Stegostoma tigrinum: one gene and its partners. The protein of the gene in region 1 interacts with the protein of each later gene in a biochemical or structural test. Links are inferred from orthologs where the notes say so. Each region holds a gene or a part of one and is shown on either strand. Other genes may lie near its edges.

What was found. The genes of interacting proteins can lie anywhere in the genome.
Region 2: the proteins of btk (region 1) and general transcription factor II-I-like form a complex in vitro, tested with the Homo sapiens proteins (4 studies listed by BioGRID and IntAct, with this or other methods). The link is inferred for Stegostoma tigrinum from reciprocal best matches to the Homo sapiens genes BTK and GTF2I.
Region 3: the proteins of btk (region 1) and SH3 domain-binding protein 5-like form a complex in vitro, tested with the Homo sapiens proteins (2 studies listed by BioGRID, with this or other methods). The link is inferred for Stegostoma tigrinum from reciprocal best matches to the Homo sapiens genes BTK and SH3BP5.

What each region holds. Positions count from the first base shown.
Region 1 is NC_081368.1:71,924,782-71,932,311, forward strand, and holds the start of btk (tyrosine-protein kinase BTK), read left to right. Parts: upstream 1-4,424; 5' UTR 4,425-4,513; intron 4,514-7,530. UniProt on the Homo sapiens protein: Non-receptor tyrosine kinase indispensable for B lymphocyte development, differentiation and signaling. Binding of antigen to the B-cell antigen receptor (BCR) triggers signaling that ultimately leads to B-cell activation.
Region 2 is NC_081380.1:9,698,878-9,706,803, forward strand, and holds the start of general transcription factor II-I-like, read right to left. Parts: upstream 3,107-7,926; 5' UTR 2,828-3,106; intron 2,774-2,827; exon of another isoform or gene 2,752-2,773; intron 2,544-2,751; exon of another isoform or gene 2,411-2,543; intron 2,021-2,410; exon of another isoform or gene 1,906-2,020; intron 1-1,905. UniProt on the Homo sapiens protein: Interacts with the basal transcription machinery by coordinating the formation of a multiprotein complex at the C-FOS promoter, and linking specific signal responsive activator complexes.
Region 3 is NC_081355.1:21,867,831-21,875,277, reverse strand, and holds the start of SH3 domain-binding protein 5-like, read right to left. Parts: upstream 3,107-7,447; 5' UTR 2,279-3,106; coding exon 2,207-2,278; intron 1-2,206. UniProt on the Homo sapiens protein: Functions as a guanine nucleotide exchange factor (GEF) with specificity for RAB11A and RAB25. Inhibits the auto- and transphosphorylation activity of BTK. Plays a negative regulatory role in BTK-related cytoplasmic signaling in B-cells.

The sequences.
Region 1 (7,530 bases):
ACGAAGTTGTGCTGTGGAATAATCCTAATCCAAAAATAAAATAACCTAACCTACATTCCCCTCAATTCACTCGCTTAAATGTCACTAATGACTCCACTTCCACAACTACCACTGGCAAACTATTCCATGCGCTCACAACTCTCTGGGTGAAGAACCTCCCTCTGACGTCTCCTCTGTACCTTCCTCCTAACACCTTAAAACTATGACCCCTCGTAGCAGTCAATCCTGCCCTGGGGAAAAGTCTCTGGCTATCGACTCCATCCATGCCTCTCATTACCTTGTACACCTCGATCAGGTCACTTCTCTTCCTCCTCTCCAGAGAGAAAAGTCCAAGCTCAGTCAACCTTTCCTCATAAGACAAGCCCTCCAGTCCAGGCAGCATCCTGGTAAACCTCCTTTGCACCCTCTCCAAAGCTTCCACATCTTTCCTATAATAGGGCAACCAGAACTTGACACAATATTCCAAGTGTGGTCTCACCAGGGTTTTGTACAGCTGCAGCATAACCTCGCAGCTCTTAAACTCGATCCTCCTGTTAATGAAAGCCAAAACACCATATGCTTTCTTAATAACTTTACCCACCTGGGTGGCAACTTTGAGGGAGCTATGCTCTTGAACACCAAGATCCCGCTGTTCCTCCACACTGCTGAGAATCCTGCCTTTAATCCTATGTTCAGCCTTAGGTTCAACCTTCCAAAATGCGTCACTTCGCATTTGTCCGGGTTGAACTCCATCTGCCATTTCTCAGCCCAGCTCTGCATTCTGTCACTGTCTCGCTGAAGCCTGCAATAGCCCTCGATACTATCAACGGCACCTCCAACCTTTGTGTCATCAGCAAACATACTAACCCACCCCTCAACCTCCTCATCCAAGTCATTTATAAAAACTACAAAGAGCAGAGGCCCAAGAACAGAGCCCTGTGGGACACCACTCAACACTGACCTCCAGGCAGAATACTTACCATCTACAACCACTTTCCGCCTACTGTCAGCCAACCAATTCTGAATCCAGACAGCCAAATCACCCTGTATCCCATACCTCCTGACTTTATGAATGAGCCTGCTGTGGGGAACCTTATCAAATGCCTTGCTGAATTCCATGTACACCACATCCACTGCTCGACCCTCGTCAACCTGTCTCGTGACTTCCTCAAAGAACTCAATAAGATTTGTAAGGCATGACCTGCCCCTCACAAAGCCACGCTGACTCCCTTTAATCACACTATGCTTTTCCAAATAGTCATAAATCCTACCCCTCAGAATTCTTTCCAAAACCTTGCTGACCACAGACGTAAGACTGACTGGTCTGTAATTTCCAGGGATTTCCCTATTCCCTTTCTTGAAAAGAGAAACAACATTTGCCTCGCTCCAATCTTCCTGTACAACTCCTGTGGAGAGTGAGGAAGCAAAGAACTTCGCCAGCGGCTGAGCTACCTCCTTTCTTGCTTCCCTGAGCAACCTAGGATAAATCTGGTCTGGCCCTGGGGACTTATCAATCTTAATGTTTGCCAAAATTTCCAGCACATCAACTTCCTCAATCTTGATCTGTTCAAGCTGGTTTTCCTGCTCCTCAAAGCTATCATTCACAGCAAGGTCCCTTTCCTAAGTGAATTAGGTCCTGAGCCTAAACTGCTGACCTGGACGTTATGACGTTGGAACAACCAGCTGCTGCTATAATGCTAGCTTCTAATTCACAGCTAGTGAACTCCTGCCTTCTGAACCCACAATCACCACTTCGTAGTCATAGCATTATTCGGCATAGAAACAGGCCCTTCAGCCCGCCATGTCCAGGTCATCCAAAAAATACCAAACTACACTAATCTCAGATACATGCACTTGATCCATAGCCTTATGCATTCTAGCATTTTAAATGCTCATCTAGATGGTTTTTAAATACTGTGAGTGTATCTGTCTCCACCACCCTACCAGGCAACGTGTTCCATATTCACCAAAAAGTAAAACAAAAAACTGTGGATGCTGGAGATCTGAAACATAAACACATGTAGGTCCAGCAGCATCTGTGGGAAGAAAGCAGGTTTAACATTTCAAGTCCGGTGACCCATTTTCAGAATTGTTAGTAGTTCAGACAAAGTAATATTTATGCTGAAGATGAGGTTAGGTATGGAGGGAGGGGGAGATGGAAGGGCAGAGGTGAGCAAATAAGTGGATACAGAGCCCAGAGAGAGACAGAAAGAGATATGAAAGGGTAGCTAAACAAGAAGGTTATGGATAGCAGGCCTGGACAGAAGAAAGGCTGAATAAGTGAAATAAGACCTAAGAGTAGGAGAGAATAGGTGAACTGTACTGACAGTATACCATATAATATGACAATAGGCCGAGGAGTACATGGGAATGAGTGACAGTGCTAAAAGCAACCAATGTCACAATAGGTCCAATGTAAGGTGGTAAAATACATGGAAGGATAGAATCTGGCTCTAAAGTTATTGAACTCAATTTTGTGTCCTAGAGGCTGCAGGTCCCCAAGTGGAAAACGAGATGTTGCTCTTCAAGCTTGCACTGATGCTCGCTGGAACACTGCAGCAGGCCTGTGTCAGAAATGGTGGCATGGGAACACGGTGATGTGTTGACATGGCAGGCAACTGGAAGCTCAGGATCATTCTTAGGGACAGAGCGTAGGTGTCCTGCAAAGTGGTGACTCAGCCTATGTTTTATCCTCCCTATGAAGAGGAGAAACATTGTGAGCAGTGAATGCAGTAGACTAGATTGAGTGAAGTCCAGAAAAATTGCTGCTTCACTTGGAAGGTGTGTCTCGGACCTTGGATAGTGAGGAAGGAAGAAGTAAATGGGCATGTATTACACCTTCTGTGGTTGTATGGGAAGGTGCCATTGGGATGTGAGGAGATACTGGGAGTTGAGGAAGAGTTGACCGGAGTGTCAGGGAGGGTATGGTCCCTGTGGTAGGCTGACAACGGAATGTGTCTGGTCATGGTGTCCTCCTGGAGTTGGCAGAAACAGCAGTTAATGATCATTTGGGGCGCAAAGTCTGGTGGGATGGTAAGCAAAGACCATTGTTGTGGGAGAGAAGAGATGCAGTGATGGCAGAAAAGCAGGAGATTAGTTGAACACAGCTGGGTGTTGAATAAAGAGGCAAGAAAATCTTGTAACCACTTTGTAAAACATTGGGTAGGCCACAGATGAATATGTGCAGTTCTGGTCATCACATAATCGAAAGGATGTGATGGCACTGGAAGGGGAGTGGACAAGATTCAGAGCTTCGCTCTTTCTTCAGGTGTTACTGAAAGTGGTAGTATCAAACACAGAATTTTATGCTTTATTTAACCAAGCCTAAGATGCTGTTCAATCTTTATTCAGTTAGAAGGTTTTAATTGATTAATATGTGTAGGTAAATTCCTGAATTCCTTTCAAGTCATTGTCCTGAGAGAACTAAAGGTTTTATCACTGTAAATAAGAGGTGACATTTTAGGTTGGACAATGCATGCTAGGTTATAACTGCATGTTATAAATTCTGTGTCTGATACTACCTCTCTCACTAACACCTGAAGAAGGAGTGAAGCTCTGAAAGCATGTATTTTCAAACAAATCTGTTGGGCTATAACCTAGTGTCATGTGATTTCTGATCTTATCCAGTCACTCCACATAAGTGAGACCTTCCATCCCAGGCAATATCCTGGTGAATCTTGTCGGCAACCCTTCCAGTGCAATCACACCCTTTCATTTATGTGATGACCAGAACTGCACATATTCATCTGTGGCCAAACGAATGTTTTACAAAGTTGTTACAAGATTTTCCTGCCCCTATATTCAACAACCAGGCTAATGAAGGCAGCCATTCATATGCAGTATCTACCTGTGCTCACACCTTCATGCATCTATGGAATCGTGTACCAAAATTTCATGTTAACCTTTCCATTGTAAAGGTGTCTGCTCTTTGGAAAAGTTTCTGCCTTTTATGCCTGTTGTGATGACATCAAAGATAACTTACCTTCTGATTCAATGCTACCTCAGGTTACCTCTAACGCGAAAACGAGTGATTAGTTTGCAGGCAACAGCTTGTGAAGGCTTTTGTGGTGCAGTGGTAGTGTCTCTACCTCTGGGCCAGGATGCATGGGTTCAAGTCCGACGCACTCAAGAGCTGTGTCATAACACCACACCTCTCTGATGAAGGCTCTCGGCCCGAAACGTCAGCCTTTGTGCTCCTGAGATGCTGCTTGGCCTGCTGTGTTCATCCAGCCTCACACTTTGTTATCTTGGATTCTCCAGCATCTGCAGTTCCCATTATCTCTGGCCATAACACCTTTGAACAGGTTGTCGAGGTAAATATCTGGAGGCACTAGCTACAGAGAGACAGCAAACAGAAGAGGGCAGCACTGGATATGTAAATACAAATTAATTTAAATAAAAACTGCCCTCTGATGGAAATGAGGAACTTATCTGTTAGTTCCTGGCACAGGGTGGAGCTAACATTGTCTGAGAGAAATTAAAGAGGCAGGGAAGACAGCTAAACTGATCCCTGCCGTGCATGGATAGCTTGTAGGTAAGTGAAACAGGGAGTCTATGTTGGGCAGTATAATAATGTGTGGATTCAGTTATAATCTATTCATTTCAATGTATTTTCACAGTGAGTGTGGGGAGAGTAGCTTATTTTGTTGGTTGGTTCATTTTCCTGTTTAGTTTGGATTTGGGGAACTGCAGAACTGCAAATGTTTTTGATCTGTGTTTCTGCAAACCAGTCCTGTTTGATGAATAATTAAGGAGAGAGGCCTCTTTGATTCTACTGTCCCTTGGTGAAGCAATGTGCTTGGGAGTGGGACTGAGGTTACAATCTCACTTGTGCGTTCCAGCCCCAGGTTCCTTCAGTATCTGTGCCGTAAATTACAGGCTCTGACGGCTGTAAAGCTGCCCCTGTCTGCAGTGTGGCAAAGCTTTATCCATCTTCACTGAAGGTGTGATCCTTTCAAAACCATCAGTAAATGTGCAAATAAACCCAGCACTTCAGCTTTTGCCACAGACAAAAGAGTTATTTGAAGAGAGGATGAAGGAGGCTGGCATTAAAATTGCAATTCCTCATTTTAATTTTAGCTCCCAAACCACTAGTGTTTACCTTTGGGATAATAGGTTACACCTTGACTTAAATGTAAATCTCAAAAACTTGCAAAGATCACACCAACAGATGAACAAGTACAGATCAAGCATTGTGAGAGGAGCTATCATTTGGATATGGGATTAAAAGGATGGCCTGCCTGTCCTTTTAGTTGGATTGAAAGATCCCTTCATGAGGCCATGAGAAACGGACATGGGTGTACAGAGTCCTGCTCTTCCAGCCTGCTCCATCATTTGGAAAGATCATGGCCATCAATTCAAATTTCTACTGTTCTCCCTATTTCCCTTCAGTCTAAAGTTATCAATCTCAGTCTTGAATAGAGAATCACAGAAACACACACCCCATCAACAAACAGCCAAGAGATAGTAAACTGTAACTGACCAGACCCTTAGGTGGTAAAGAAGGTGTACGGCATTGGTTGGGGCATTGAGTATAAAAGTAGGCAAGTCATGTTGCAGCTGTATTAGAATTTAGTTTGGCTACATTTGGGGTATGTGCAGTCCTAATCACCACACGAAGGAAGGATGTGAAGGCGATGGAGAGGGTGCAAAAGAGCTTTGCTAAGATGTTAGATGTTAACTGGATTCAAATGTATTAGCCAGTTACAGGGATTGTTTTCATGAGAATGTCAGAGGCTGAGTATCTAAAATTATGAGAGACATGAATAATTGGCATCTCTTAACCAGTTTGGAAATGTTAAATACTAGGGGCCATAGATTTAAGTTGAGGGGGGGCAAGTTTAAAGATGTGTAAGAAAAGAATTTTGACAGTGAGAGTCGTGGGTGCCTGGAACACCAGGAGAGGTGGTAGAGGCAGATACATTCGCAAAGTTTGAGAAGCATTTAGATAGACACACAAACAGGTAGAGAATAGAAGGATATGGACTACGAGCAAGCATATGGCATTAGTTTCGAATATCATCATGGTGGGCCAAAGGGCCTGTTCCTGTGCTGTACTGCTCTATGTTTATGTTCGCCCAGGAACACATTTTCCATTAATTGATAGCACCTGAAAGCCCACACCCAACAATAGACAGCACTCTGGAATACACATTCCATCAAGAGGCAGCAATCGGGAACCTGCACAACATCAACAGACAGCACCTGGGAACACACGCTCCATCAATAGTCAGTAGCCAGGAACACACACCCCCATCAATAGACAGCCAGTGGGAGCACACACTCCGTCAATAGACAGCACCTGTAAACACACACCCCATCAATAGACAGCACCCAGGAGCACACATCCCATTAATAGACAGCACCTCAGAACACACACCCCATCAACAGACAGCACCCGGGAACACACTCCATCAACAGACAGCAGCCAGGAACACACACTCCATCAACAGACAGCACCCAGGAACACACACCCCATCGACAGACAGCACCTCAGAACACACACCCCATCAACAGACAGCACCCGGGAACAGACACCCCATAAATAGACAGCTCCCAGGAATACATTCTCCATCAATAGACAGCACCTGGGAATACATGCTTCATCAGTAGATATCATGCAAGAAGATATTAAAATTCTGAGAAGCAGAATTATTTTCAAGTGGAGAGGTAGGGGTTAATCAATGATAGGCAACATGGCTTTCTAAGGCAGATGTCATGCCTAACGAATTTGATTGAATTTTCTGAGTGAACTGGGTGTGTAGATAAGGGTAGTAAAATTGATGCTGATGGACTTCAGTAAGACTTTTAATGAAGTATTCTGCGGCAGGCTGGGTAAGAGTGTAACCATGTACGGGTTTCATGGAAATTTGTCAAATTGGATCCAAAATTGGTTTAGGGTCAGAGGGTGATGATAAAGGGTGTTTTTGTGACTGAATGCCTATATTCAGTGGCATACCACAAGGTCTGGTGGTGGGTTCTTTGCTGTTTGTTGTGTACACTAATGATCTAGACATGACTGTAAGAAATATGATCAATAAGTTCATGAATGACATGAAAGTTAGTGGTGTTTTCAATAAGTGAGGAGGAAAGCCTGAAATGGCTGGTCAAATGGGCTGAACAGTGGGAAATGAAATTTAATTCTGAAAGGTGTAAGGTGATGTACTTTGGGAGGACTAATTAAAAAGTAGCATGTTGGGATATATAGAGGACGAGATGGACCTTGGTGTGTATATCCATAGATCCTTGATGGCAGCTGGGCAGGTAGGTTGTTAAGTTTGTTAAGAAGGCATATCGGATACTTGCCTTTATTAATCAAGGCACTGAATACAAGTGCAGGGAGCTTATGATGGAGCTGTTATTATGTTAGTTATATAATATATATATAATGCCCCAGCTGGAGTACTATGTGCATTTCTGGTCTCCATGCTGTAGAGATTGCTCTAGAGGAGCTACAGAAGAGATTCACTGGGATATTGCCTAGGCTGGAGTGATTCAGTTATGATGAGAGGCTACCTGGAGTCTTCCAATCCTCTAAAATTTTTAACGAAT
Region 2 (7,926 bases), on another chromosome or scaffold:
AATTTTCTTACCAAAATGTACTATCAATTAATGTTGAAACACATTTCCTTATAATACTGTTATTGGTGCCTTCATTTAATTTGTTGCAATTCTCCTCAGCGTTGAGCATTCCTTTGAATCTGAAGCTGTCTATGTTCTTAAAAGTTTCTATTTAAAATCTAAAAAATTTTTATAAGTAAATAGTGAACAATGGAATCACTTTTCCCATTTCCCATTCTGAACAGTATCTCTTCACCCACAATTCTAACATTTTCCGTTTTTCTGTCTGTTTGAATATCCATTCTGTTACTGATTCTATATTCACATGCTATTCATTACTTTATTATTTAAATAAATTTACTATGTACCTTATGGGAAGTGTTTAGAAAGCTTGATACGTTACACCTACAACATTACCCATGCCTATTCTGACCACTTTAAAAAACTGAGGTTAAATTAAGGGAGACTTTCCCTTTTCGGATATTGTTGAGTCATCATATCATTTTTCTTGATACTTAAGACCCTTAATAAGAGAACATTTCTCAGGGAAAGAAATTAAACAACAGCACTACATTCTTCAACTGAAAATTAGTTCATCAATAATCTCAAAAAAAGCATCACAGCACTGCTGGGAGCTTCAAACCACTGGCAGACCAAAAGTTGCAATTCCACTAACTTACACTCTGATTTAAGTGTTTTGGGCACACACTGGTGCAGATGTAGCCAGAAGAGGCTGAAATATTAAAATCCTAAGAAACAAGACATCCAAGACTAGTTTCACAGGCTTATTTTCAAAGTGCAATGTTAACTACAAAATTGTCTTAACATCGCACTTTACAAAATTCAATGTTGAAACAACTTATCTGGTGTCAGTTGTCACAAAATAAAACACAGCTTCTAATTTTGGTCAAATACATTATTATGCAACAAAATAACAAAGATGATAAACTAATTAAAAGCTATCATTTAGCCAGTCCACGAAATGTTCAATGACAAGCTTTGAAAAGTATTAATCCAGTATTACTGCCCTGATTAGACAGTTATAATAGTGTTATCATCCCACTGGATAACACCAGGGCAACATAGAGCAAAACCCAGCTGAACAGATCTAAGATGCTGCTTAGCCGGCTGTGTTCATCCAGCTCCACACTTTGTTATCTCTTTAACAGACCATAAGCTTAATTTATTTCCAATGTTCATACCATGGTATCAAGTCACTGAGCACATTCACACTAAGTTGCCAATGTATATTTAACAAAAACATAACACCAAAATAGAACAATCAATCTTTTCCCACAATATCCTTTACACTAAAGCTAAGCAAAATAATCAGTCCAATCTCTACTTCAAAATTTAAGAACTCAATTGACGAGGCTACAAACATTCCCTTTTGGAGATTTACTGCAGAATCACCAGATGCGATTCCATTTCTCCCAAGACAAACATGCTAACTCATTAGCTTTTCTGACTTTAACCACTTTGAGGCTGCTAAAAGATTAAGATCTATTTCCAGTTCAATTGGTCTGAAGACCATCAAAAGCTAAATTGCCTTTCCACAGTGCTTTTTTTCTGAACTCAACACGTTTGTGGCCTCAGCCACCTGTCTTTTCCTTAGATCATAAAAACACTAGTCAGTCAACAATAAGCAGCAATTATTTCACAAGGTACCATGCTGAGTCACTTAGCTTTTAGGTGAAAGCTCACGATTGTATGTTTTCTTTAGTTCACTGTTTCAAATGACTTGCTGACCCTTTATTTTAAAAAATTCATTTACAGCACTATACCAAAACCCTGTTTACCTCAAATCAAAATTCTGTAAATAACTCATACAATCCAGATTTACTGTAATAGTCAAATACTGTTCCATTCAAGGTAACAGCTACATAATTTTTGCCAATTTAAGATTTCCAACATAACATTTACTACCATGCAATTGATGCTCAATGATAAGTTAACACCGCAAGTTCCTACGTAGTAGCAACACGTTCATGCTCACATCACCACGACTCAGTCTTCCATTTTAACCATCGACTTTCTTCTCCCTTTTGCAGGATTTTTCCCTCAACCTAACTTGCCACGGATGCCCGCCTCCCCTTTGACGATTGGCTGCTCTACAACTCAGCCTCAAATCTCGGCACATCCATTGGACAAACCCGCTGCCCTTCAATCGTGCCGTCACTGGGGAAGTTAGGCTTTACACGAAAAGCAGCAGTACTTCATGGGCGCCTTGCAGAGCCGGTTTCACCAAGACTCCCGCCAAAGCCATCAAAACAGCACAATCACCCCTCACCACTCTAAAATTGCTGTTCTAAGACAAAAATAAAAGCACGTACAGGATTGTTCAAATAAAAGACACGATGTTAAAAAAGTCAACCATTCAGCAGATGAACTGGTCTATGTATTCTGCCGCCGAATCAAAAATTAAACCCACTTTAGAGAAGAAAACTCTGAATCCCTAATCCATTCGACTTCGTCCAAGTCGCGATTTTAACCAGAGGGCGATCGGGCGCTCGATCACAGATGATGGCGGTGATCTAGTATATTAGGAATTGGGGAGGGGGAAGCACTTGTGTATGCCTCCGCTCGCTGCGGTACAACAGCCGCGGAGTCACACTACGGAGAGGCGCCGGTTCTCCAGACCGGGCGAGCGGTTGGCGATGGCGCCGGCAGTACAGCACCACGCTGCAGTCAATGCGGCCACTGTAGACACTCAAAATAAACCCCTTTCCCGAACGCACATGTAACGGAGAGAGGAAAGAAAGAAGCCGCTACCTGATCTCACTTCTTCCCCTCCCCCTTTCCCCAAGCTGAATTTTATGAAGGAGAGAGCAGGAAAACTCCGACTCACAGGAAAAGTGGCGACGCGCACACAATCCGAAAATTTCCCAGCAGCCGCCGATGGAATATTCTAGAAAAGGAAAGAAATAGCAAAAGAACGCGGTTCGAATGATCGCTCACAGGATCATTGAACGGCTGCCAATTACTTCAACTCTGGGTAATAATTTTGTGGGTTCTTTTTGGTTTGAAAGAAATCGAACAAAATTAAAATCCTGTACACCACCCGAACTACAGCTCAGCCGACAAAGCCTGACGGCGCCTTGTCCCTATTGTTCCCTTCAGCCAATGCGTTGCTAGAACGCATGCGCTCCTCCCGGGGTGCACCATAGGCTTTGTAGTCTCGGGCGCATGGATCGGCTCCGGGACCTCAATACCGGTTGGAGGGGCGTGGACTACAATTGCCAGGGTGCAATGCGCTGAAACATCTCAGGCAGTTTACAGCCCAGTGCTTGATTGGAAAAAATAGGAAAAGGGCTATTTATTTTGTGCAGCATGGTGTGCTGCATAGATTTAGACACGAAGATAGTAGCCTATCTATTGCAAGGTGCAGTGTGCAACCCTACTCTCAAAAAAATATCGTTACTAAATCGACCAGATCATTTAAGTTTCACCACGACTAATTAATATGCAAAAGTAAAATACGGCAGATGATGGAAATCTGAAATAAAATCAGAAAATATGGGTGATCTGAAACATTAACGCTGTTACTGTTTCCACATAAGCTGTCAAACATGCTAAGCATTTCTAGAAGGTTCTTCGGTTCCACTTTCTGTTTTCATTTAATTTTACGAATTTATGTTTTTTTTCTTAAGTTGGAGTCATTAATAAAATAGAGGCTGAACTATGCTGCTTTATTTTACTATTATAAACCTTCCTTCGAATCAAACTGACTCAGCAATCTTAGGCGTAGAGAAGGGCAATTGTTGTAAACTGAGAACATTTGCCCCCGTTAAATTTGGAAAATTGGCAGGAAAAATTATAATGACAGAATGGACTATCTTGAAAGAGAAAGTTCTCATAAGGGAAAAATGCAAACCTGAGATGTTGAAAGAGAACAAAATGAAAAGGTATGCATACGACAGATATAGGCTTGATAATGAAATGTGATCAAAGCTGAACATACAAGGTCCAGAGGGTAAAGCAGGAGGGAAATGAGAGGCAAAAAGAGTACAAGTTGAGACTGACCACTAACACAAAAGGGAATCTGAAAGAAAACAAACGTATAGTGAAGAGGTAGTAATCAGAAGAGCAAAACTGATTAGGGACCAAAAAGGGACTCGATAATGAGTGCAGAAAAGGAAACAAAATAGAATCCATAGAGTGTGGATACAGGCCATTTGGTTCATCACGTTGACACCGACCCTCTGAAAAAGAAGTAGTTGGAACACAGACTGGGCTAAAATTAATTAAGAATAGAAAGTAAAAAGGCTGGTTGCACATAACCTTGATCCATTATAACAATCAGATAATATATATGTCAGGATGCCAATGGAAATTGTGTTTAATTGACATAGTTAAATTTAATGAGCCACAGAGAGGGTTGATAGGGTCAAGTTTTTACAGATGTGTATGGACTTCAGAAAGTATTTTATAAAACGTCATATAATAGATTTGGCAAGAAAATGTATGTCCACAGAATCCAGGGAACAAAGGCAGCATGAATATTAAGCTGAATGGTTGACAGTGGGGGTGGGAGGGTTTAAATAAAGAGAAATTTAGAAAATTACAAAGAGAAAACAAGGCAATCATGTGATTGTGTGATAGGGTAATGTGTGACAGGAAAGCCCAAAGTTTACAAAATTAAAAGTGGACCAGCATGTAGAGTCAGAGTAAGGAAACATTACAAGAAGACAAAACTTATGATTATTCATCTGAATACATGTGCCATTTTCAATAATATAGCTGAATTGATGGTACATGTAGAAATGAAAGGGTATAATCTGACAGTCGTTACAAAAATACAGTTGCATGATGACTAAGATTGGAAACTGAATATTCAGGTGTACTTGCAAATTTTGCAAGGATAGGCAAAATGAAAAAAAAGAAAATGGGATAGGTCTGTTTATAAAGGATGAAATCAGAATAGTAGTGAGAAATGATTTTGGCTTGAAAGATCAAGATGGAGAATCAGTGTGGATGGAGATCAGAAATAGCAAGGCAGAGAGGTCATTGCCAGGAGTGGCCTACAGGTCCCCCTAACAGCAAAGCTGCGGACAGAGTGTAAATGGGAAGGTAGCAGGGTCTTGTGCTCAAGGTACTGCAGTAATTCTGAGAAAATAATCTTCACATATTTTCAACAAATTAAATTGGCAAGGGTAGCTTCGAGGATGACTTCCTTTTGGGAGTTGCAAATGCTATTTTGATCAAGTAATGTGTAATGACGCTAGATTAATCAATGTTCTCTTAATAAATTATCCTCGAGGGAAGAGTGAATGTAACGTTACAGAATGTCACATTCTGTTTTAGACAGTGAAAGATGAATTTGTCATAACCCTAAGCAAAGGCAATTACAAAGATATGAAGTTTGATTTAACTGTGGTGGACTAATGCAATACGTTAAAAGTTGCAATTATAATTAAGCAGTGCAAACATTTAATTCTCAACAAAGATATTTATTTAAGTTAGAAAGGAAGACTGCTGAAAAGACAACTCATCCGTGGACAATTAAGAATGGTTTAAAACAGAAAGAAAGGCATGTAATGTTGCAAAGATTGATAGTAAACCAGAAGATTGGTCAACAACAAAAACAGAACTTACTGGAAAAGCTCAGCAGGCCTGGCAGAATCTGTGAAGAGAAAATCAGAGTTAACGTTTCGGGTTTGGTGATCCTTCCTCACAACACTTTCAGAAGATTGGTCATTTTTTTCAACAAAAAAATTAATAAATTATGAAAAGAAATTCAAAAACGGCGTAAGTTTTCACAAAAAATACAAATGGAGAGAGAATGAGCCAGAAGAAGTATTGTTCGCTTGGAGGGTGAGGTGATATTATTAATGGACAGCAAGAAAATAGCAGAAACTTTGGATAAATTTTTATTTGTCTTTCGGGGGAAGGTACTAACAGCAATGCAATAATAGTGGAAAATTAGTGGGAAAAAGGGAGGCAGGATTTAATCACTCGCCATACAGAAAAGATGTTAATTAAACTAAAGGCTCAAAAGTCTCCTGGACCTGATGGCTTTATGCCTTATTCTTGTGTCGTGCCAAGTATAAGCGTGCCATATTACAAAATTTCAGTAAATACTTGTAAAAACTGGACACAAATAAGCTTTTGCAAATTATCTGACAATTGATATTTGAACAACAGACCATATCAACTCTAAAGCAAATGCCTAATTAAATATGGACATTTACAGTCATCCAGGGAACTTACACATCATTTATTTAATAATGGGCCAACTCTAAATAGCAATAGAATTCTCAGACTGCCTGTCTCCCTGATTTATGCCGGATAAAGGCGAAGATTGAAACCAAATTTAAGGCAGATAGAAGTGAATCACTATCTACATCCTATGTATTATAAGAATTTTTCTCATTCAAACTAGACAAGGTGAGTCTCAAAAATGTTAAACCACAACACAGGATGTTGGAATCTATATAAATATCACCACTTTTTATTTGGTCTGCTTTTAACTGTTGCCTAAATACTGGTTGCAGGCAGTCCCATGACAAAGCCAGCAAAGTCACTATTCAGTGTTCAGAAGGCCACTAAGTAGCTGTAAGTCATCAAGCAACCAAGGTAATTAACAGCAATACCTTGAGAGTGGGAGATTTAACAGAGAGTGCTCCTCCAACCTATTCCAACTTCAAGTGCTCTGAGAACCAACCTCCTAAAAATTCAACCACGGAAAACCTTACAGCCTGCTGAGAATCCTTCACTCTACAATGCCCTCACTTACAATTTTAGGTATTAAACACCATCCTTCCACATGGAAAAGCAGAAATCATAATTCAGAGATCAAGATAATTACAAACTCTACAAGTAATTTACTTTCATCTATATCTCACGTTTGCATTTGCGAGCATGAGTATGTAAATTGTCATGTTTATTTTGGTATATGCACATGAGAATAAATAATTTTGAAATTCACGCAAGTTGATGAATATTATTTAATTTGGACATATATGCCAACAGTAAGAAACGAATATCTCTTTTTTTTGTAAAACATATTGATAATAGGCATTTTGTTCTTAAATAGTTGCAGAGATTGTGGCTGCATTTACTGTAAATAGGTTCATTTCATGTAATCTTCCGAAATTCACTACTTTCACTAAATATCCAAACACACTATAAAATCACAAGGAAATTGGGAAACAGAAAGCAGAAAACCATAAACCAATTAGCCTTTCACCTGTCATTGATAAAATGCTGGAATCCATTATTAAGGAAGTAGTAACAAGACATTTAGAAAATCATAATTCAGTCAAACCAAACCATCATGATTTAATGAATGGGAAATAGTGTTTAACAATTTTTTTTAGAATCCAGTAAGGATGTAATGAGCAGGGTGGAAAGTGGTAATCAGTGTTAGGAACTCCATAGAGGCTGGTAACTTTAATGAAAAAGAACTCCCCAGTGATCAAAGCAAACAAATGGCACAGCAAGTGTTCGTACTTTTAATTCTCCACAACCCTTACTAGGTTCCATCTTCACCAGGACTTTGCTTGGTGATAAGCCCGAATAGTTTTTTTTTACCTTTGTCTGATACAGCAGTACTAGCTTTAGGTCTTCTTCCCCAAATACCCCAGTCTAACTGTTTCTGACAGTCTGCAAGTCCTAAAGCAACAAGAATTGTTGCTTTCTCCTTTACATTCAGGTTTTAAAACCTGCACCTTGTTTTTAAGGAGCTTTGACCTGGGCCTCTTATCTCTGTGGTGACAAGATCACATTGGCTTGTGTCTTCACTTTGAGGTCAAAAGTCCTTCACTACTGTTATATTTTGCCTTGATTTAAAGGAGATAGTTAAGACATGACTCTCTTACAAAGTCGATCTGTCATTGCTATATTGTATTTGGATTTCAAAGAAGCATTTGATAAGATGCACATAAAAGGCTGGTGTGCAGGACGTTTTCAAAATCACAAATTAATGGTGTGCTTCAGGGATCAGCG
Region 3 (7,447 bases), on another chromosome or scaffold:
AGGACACACGAGTGCATTGAGAATGCAGACTTGGGTAGACTTGCAGTTTTGTTTTCTCAGTCAGCTTGTTATTTTTGTTTCACACTCTCTCTGGCATCCTGGCCGATAAATATTCCTCAAGTAACATCACAAACTGATTAACTAATGGTTATGTAATTGACATCTGCACCTCGTTATAAGCAAATTTCCTACAAATAAAACAATTAATATACCTCAAAACCTTTGTCCTAAGGTTCCCATTGGACCTGCATTTACACAGAACCCGTCTTTCATCGAATATGAAGATGTCAACAGGAATTCCTGGTGATAATGTCATTGATTAATGTGCTCCTATAGTAACTGGTAATTTAAACTGAAGCAAGAAGGTCCAACAATTTATGGTTACAGACTACAAAACATGACGGACAGTGAGGGCGGAGAGGAGAGAGGCAAATTAATTATGCTGAAAACATAAAGCACTGTACTTTTGAAGGAACAGCAATGGGGAAAACTGGTTTAAATACGAAGTGATTTTCATGGTGTGCAGCTGCAGAAAACATTACTCAAGACAGTATAGAATAATGCCATAAGACAAAGCAAATCCTCAGAGACAAATGATGAATTAGTGCTTGGTCTAGGCCCGAAACGTCAGCTTTTGTGCTCCTGAGATGCTGCTGGGCCTGCTGTGTTCATCCAGCCTCACATTTTAATTATCTTAATTAGTGCTTGAGTTCAGTTTGGCTTAGGTTGGAATGCGTTGGGTGGCTCACAATAGTTTGGGTTGTTAATAGATGGGGGAAAAATTCACCGTATATTACAGAGTCTGAGAAGTTAGACCATTTTCAATTCATTTGCAGGACATGGACAAGCAAAGCTGGCATTTAAGGTGATGTAATTGAGCTTGTTAGGCTACCTTAGTAAAAACACTAAAAGGAATGCATGCTGGTGTGGCATTGGATCATAGGGAAAACAAGGTAAAGAACAGTGAGTCTCCTTCACTAAAGGAAACAGACGAATTACATGGGGTTTTTAAGGCAATCCGATAGCTTGACAGTTGCACTCACTAATATCAACTTCTCAATTTCAGATTTATGAAATTAGGACAATATCAAGCTCCAAGTGGAGAACACTGAGTAAAGGCACCAGGAAAACTTCAAAACACCAAAATCAGACTACAGTCAATAAAAGACAGTAGGCCTCTCTTAAAAGTAAAAAAGCATGTCGTTTACAAAGAAAAAAGATTTTTGAACAATACAATTGGGCAATTTGAGTTCAGGAAGCAATTAGCGACAGCCTTGCCCATGCAATTAGTGGGAAGCTTAACCAGAGAGTTACTGTCCTCCACAAACAGCCCAGCACATAAAATTTTATATCATGGCGTTGCAACACCCAATTTCTTTGCTGCAGCATGGTTTGGTAGAACAATCAAGTCAAATTTGATAAGGGAAGAGCTAATGGAAAATGTCCATTTAAAAAGAAATTCAAATATAAATGGCTGATGAGGAAAACAGGCTATTCTCACACACCTCAAACAATTTAGACAGACAGATACACAAAGAGGGAGAAGACCTACAGAATGCAACAAAGAGGACCAGGCTGTTTTAAAACTGCAGTTAGCAATGTCACAGCCAAGTACAAGCATTAGATTTTTTAAAAATCAGATTACGTGAATAAGATAGAAGTGAAATATTATTTTAACCAATAACATATCCAAAATTAAAGCTTATCTCCCTGAGAACACAAAAAAAGCTCAACTCCATGAAAATGGTTAAAGTTTTACTTCTGATCCCAGATCATTATAAAAGGAGTTATCAGTACAGTATACATTATAGAGGGCACTGAAACAGCATACATTTTACCAAGGTATTAGTACAATATACATATACCATGCTGTTAGTACTGCATATACAATAATGGGGTTTTAGTATTGTACGCATTATACTGGAGACTGCAAACGGATTCCTGACTGTAGACTATAAACTCAGAAGGTCTCCTACAATTCACACATAATCATGAAGCTTTACTGCATAACTGCAAAAAAATGCGAACTGTAACTTGTTGTGGGAACCATATTCTCTGGTTCCCATCTCTCAGCAAGTTGCCATTTACATATTTTTTGCAGTTATGCGGTGAAGCTTCACAAAATAACCCATCCACCGGACTGCAACGTTAGTACAAGCCACAAAACCGACCAATTCCAAAGGAACGTTTTGGCAAAAATGTTTACCTGAATCCTTGGGTCGACTTCTTCCTCCTCTGGCACTTCTAACTTCTCATTCTTCTTCGACAACCCGTCCATTTTGCGACTAAATTATTTATATCTTACAGCATTCAGTCTCTTTTATTTTGGGAGAATGTAAAAAAATGCAAGCTAGGACCGAAATTCGAAAAGGAGAGAGAGAAACACTCAGGGAAGTGAAACAGAATTGGCTTCACTATCGATTAAGACGTTGTCGGAGTCAACACTGCTGTATCCTGCAGAAACATCTGGAATTCATTCTTCCACTAAAACAGGCTCCAACGAACGAGGCAGCAAAACTTGGACGCGTAAAAAGCTGCAATAATTCAACATTTTTGAAGTGTCCGGAGGAAATATACGCCGCCCTCTCGGATGCAGACTCTTGTCGTTCAGAGCCCTGGTAGGAGGAAAATCATTCTAAATATATCCACAGACAGGATGAAAGGAGGTTGGCGTTGTCATACAATAGCGACGTTAGCACAGCTCGTTCAAACGGAGTCAGAGAGGCTACATTCTCCAGGATTCCTCAGTGCGCTGCTACTCCGCCCCTTCCTCTTACTCTGGGCTTGTTGGCGATTGCTTTGTTCTAATGAGATACAGGCGTAATAAAGGCTGAAAATTTACCTCCGCACCCCCCCAACCTTCACTTACCCGCAGGGGAGGATGCAGTTACCAATCTAAGACCAGCGGTTATTTCCAGCAATTTCTCTTTCTCCCTCTAAAGAATTAATTTCTTTCAATTATTGCTTTTATTTTCATGTCCTTTATTGGCTCTGGAAATAACGGGCTGGGATTGCATCACGGATGATGGCTACCCCTGTGCTGATTCGGAGATAATTTACAGAATATCTCACTGACACACAGCATCTTGCAGAGCTCACTCACTGCCCAGTCTGGGTAATACTGGGTCACTAAGTTGTAGCGCCCAGTTCAGGCTGGAGGACACAACCCGCGCTGGCACTATTGATGGAGTGTGGCATATTTTGCACGACGCGTTAAAAGGCCCTGTTCTGCCCTCTCGTGTGAAGATTGTGTGGCATGAGTTTAGAGAGATAAGGCGTGTTCTCCCTTTTGTCCTGGCTAACGTTTGTTCCTCTCACACATTACAAAAACATGCAACCTGCTTATTATCTCATCCCATATCAAAAATATTTCATTAGGTGTAAACTATTTGAGATCATGAAAGTTGCCGTATGAATGCAAACCTGTCTTTTGGATCCGCACCCTCTCGGATCCGCTACAAACCAAGCATTTTGATGTTACATTGAGTTCCATATTGAAGGCAACAATTCGTATAATTCTAGTTTGGAATGAAACACCGTGTTGATGTGGAAAGGTATGATTAGCATTCATAGTATCAGTTCCTCCCTCAAATTAACTTCACTAATGAAAATAGAGGATTATTTTGAAATTGTTACAATGACAGACAAAAATGCAGTGCGAATGCACACAACAGAATATCCAAGAAAGGGAGCTCAGACAGCAAAACCCGCTCAAAGTCTGCTGCTGTGGTAATAACGTTCAATTCATTTTCTGTTCTTCCATAGTAATATGGTTTGTACTGAAATAAGATTATTGTATGCTGGGAGCTAAATTCCTAGAGGAAACGTCTGTTTTTTTTTGTTCGTTTGTTTTAAACCTTTGTAAAAATCATCTGTTATGCTTATCAGTATTCAAAAAATGAAGGAAGCTGAGATATTATTTGTTTGGGAAATATTACTATTAATCAATACAAGATAGTGAAAGTCTGAAAATGAGCAATTAAAAAGCAATGTAAAACCTTGGTTAAATCTTTTTCTCACTTAATTCAACAACCCACAAACATTTTTATAGTCCATTTAACAACCAGAATACCTTAAAGCTTCAAAGTAGTGTTATAGGACAACATGTTACACTGTGTCACATAAGGAAGTATGTTTCCACACTGTAGGGATTCTATGAAATCTGGTGATGAACGGTTTGCTCAAAGAACTCAAGAGTCGTAGAGTCCAGCAGCATGGAAATAGACCCTTCAGTCCAACCAATCCATGCCTAACATAATCCAAGTCTAAATGTGTCCCACCTACATGATCCTGGCAAATATCTCTCCAAATCTTCCCTATACATGTACTTATCCAAATGTCTTTTAAACATTGTAATTGTACCCACATTCACCACTTCCTCAGGAAGTTTATTCCACATGCAAACCACCCTGTGTAAAAAAATTTCCTCGTCTTTTTTTAAATCTCTCTCTTCTCACCTTAAAATAACATACTCTAGTCTTGAAATCCCCATCTGAGGTAAAAGACAGCTACCATTAATTCTATCTATTCCTCTCATTATTTTATAAACTTTTACCAAGTTGCCACTTAACCTCCTACACTCCAGAGAAGAAGGTCCTAGCCTATCTAGCCTTTCTTTATAACTCAAACCTTCCATACCCAGCAATGTCCTGGTAAATCTCAGAGGAAGGGTCACTGAACCCACAATGTTCACTCAACCCACAACGTTCACTCTGATTTCTCCCCACAAGTGCTGCCAGACCTAATGAGCTTACAACAATTTCTGTCTTTGTTTCTGACTTACAGCATCCGCAGTTCTTTTCATTTATAACTAGGTTCTATGGATTGTTTTAAAGACGGAGAGGGAAAGAATAAAGAGTCTGAGAAATGAACTGACTCATCTTAGTTCTTCAGTTAATTTGTATTAGTCTGTCATCCTCTTGGAAAATTGCCTAAGTGAGAGAAATAGGTGGATTTTATTAATAATTTAATTCAAGGAACAATATAGCTTTCTGAATTTCAAACAAAAACAGAGATTCAGTAACAGAAAGTTACCAGGTCAATTTAGCTATGCAACCTGACTTCAACAGGAGTCTAGATTGGGGAGTCAATCATTTATTTAATCCATGGGAAGTGTTGAGGCAACTCGCTAGTCCACAATAAAGAGAAGTCCTCGAATCTTAGTGCTGTGAGTTGTTCAGAAACCAAAATGAATGAATCTAGTGGCGAATGATGGGGTGATGATGAAGTCAGGGCAGTCATGTGATTGAGCATTATAGAGGTAGAACAGCAGCAGATGAAACAATTCAACATAAGGTTTACAATGGGTAAGAATATCAGTAACTTTGAAGAGAGAGGAACACTCTCCGATTAAAGCAAAACAATAGCACCCATTTATCAATAAAATCCTGGCTGTTGTTCATGTGTTGCTGGGTGTTGAGATGGACTGCTTTACTGTCCATGGAATTGCAAATCAAAGCAAACATTCCAAAAGTATCAAAAAACAGCTCTACTTTTATAACCATCTTGTGGTCCCTATTGAGCAGAAATTGACTTAAACCCACCATATAATGCCATTATATGACAGGGCTTTTGTGGCACAGTTGTTGTGTCACTATTTCTGAGTTAGGAGGCCAAGTTTCAAGTTCCACTTGTTCAGGAGGTGTCTAATAATATTTCTGAACAGGTTGAATAGAAAATACCTGTAAATGCCATGGCAAAAACGCTAGTGGTGCAACAGTAGTGTCCCTGTCTCTAGACCAGAAGGCCTGCATTCAGGTTCCACCTGCTCCAGGATGTGTCACAAGATACCCAAACAGGTTGAATAGAAGTAACTATAAATACAATGGCAACTTAAACAGAAATTCTGTGATGAGTAGTTCATCTCCTGACTGCCAAAAACCTCACCTCAAGGCACACCAAAGAAACATGAAGCAAAGTTTTCCAGTTGCCCAGAGAGATGCAACTCCAACATCTATGTACTCATCGAACTGTCATATTCCACATAGATTCTGAGAATACGCAACAATTTGTTTATTCATATAAACATAAATATGTGATGCCATTTTGCCCTTTGTGCAAAAAAATTCTATCCTCTCTGAATGGAAAATTAACTAGTCTGTGAACAGAAAAGAAAATAATACAAGTTCAGCAGATGAAGCAGAATTTCCAAGTTGCATTTAATAAAAATTCCAAAAATGGAGGCCTGTCTTGCAAGGCCAGAGTTTATTAGTTATTGCTAATCGCACATGAAAACGTTACCCATGAGTATTCCTGAAGTGTGGTGACAGTACTTCCATATGTATTGTTAAGTAGTACAATCAAAGCATCATAAAATGGTTACAGTACAGATTGAGGACATTCAGCCTCTCAGGCCAGATGCCAGCTTTCTGCAAGAACAATTTAGCCCTATTTCCACACTCTTTCCCGATAAATCCTGTAAATCTTTCCCTTCAGATGCTTATCTGACCACCTTTTGAAATCAGAATTGAATTGGCTTCTGCCATCCTGTCAGTCAGTAAATTCCAGACTGTTGGCACTCACTGTGTTAAGAAACATACTCCTCATGTTGGCCTTTCAATCTATATTCTTAAATCTATATTCTGTAATTCTTCAACCTTCCACTAATGGAAATATTTTCTTTGTCTGTATTGATCTACTCCATCTGGATCCCCTTTGATTTTGAACTCTATTATTAAATGTCCAACACTTGCTTCCCTAATAGGAAGAGCTGAAGAAGCTCAGTAGGTCTGGCTGCATTTGTGGAGAGAGATCTGCTGAATTTTGCTTTTATCCCAACTCCTCAAATTACACAAAAGTCTCTTGTCCTGGAACCCCATGATTCTCCCTACATTCTTCACATCCTCCTAATGTTTGTTGTCAGAATTAACATCACATCTCAGTTCAGGCTGAACAAACGTTAAAGGTTCAACATAGCACCCAGAACTGTGACAATAAAGGAGCAGTGATATATATCCGAGTTTGGTTATGTGATTAAGAAGGGAACCTTGAAGTGACGGTGAGGCGATGTCATTCTCCTAGGTGGTTGAAATTGTAGATTTTAGAAGAGCTGTTGAAAATACTTTGGCAAGTTGCTGCAGTGCAGCTTGTACAGTCACTGAAGTTAGATTTGATCTCTACTGGATACTGCATACTGTGTTCAGCAGCAGCAAAGAGGACAAGTTTTTTTCAGACTTCGAGTATTTGTATGAGTGAATCAGAGGTGAAACTGAACTTGTGTTGGATATAGCTGGTTTTAGGGTGCTTCGGTCAGCTGTATATAGTAATTAATACGACTCTTTAAGTGTCAGTCAGTGGCTCAATGGAAGCACGCTCAGATCATGGCGGGGGGTGAGGGCATGATGATGTAGTATTGATGTCACTGGACTAAAATTCCCAAGGTCCAGGTCAGTGGTCTGGCTGCATGAGCTCAAATCATACCGTTGCAGTCATAAAGTCACACAGCATG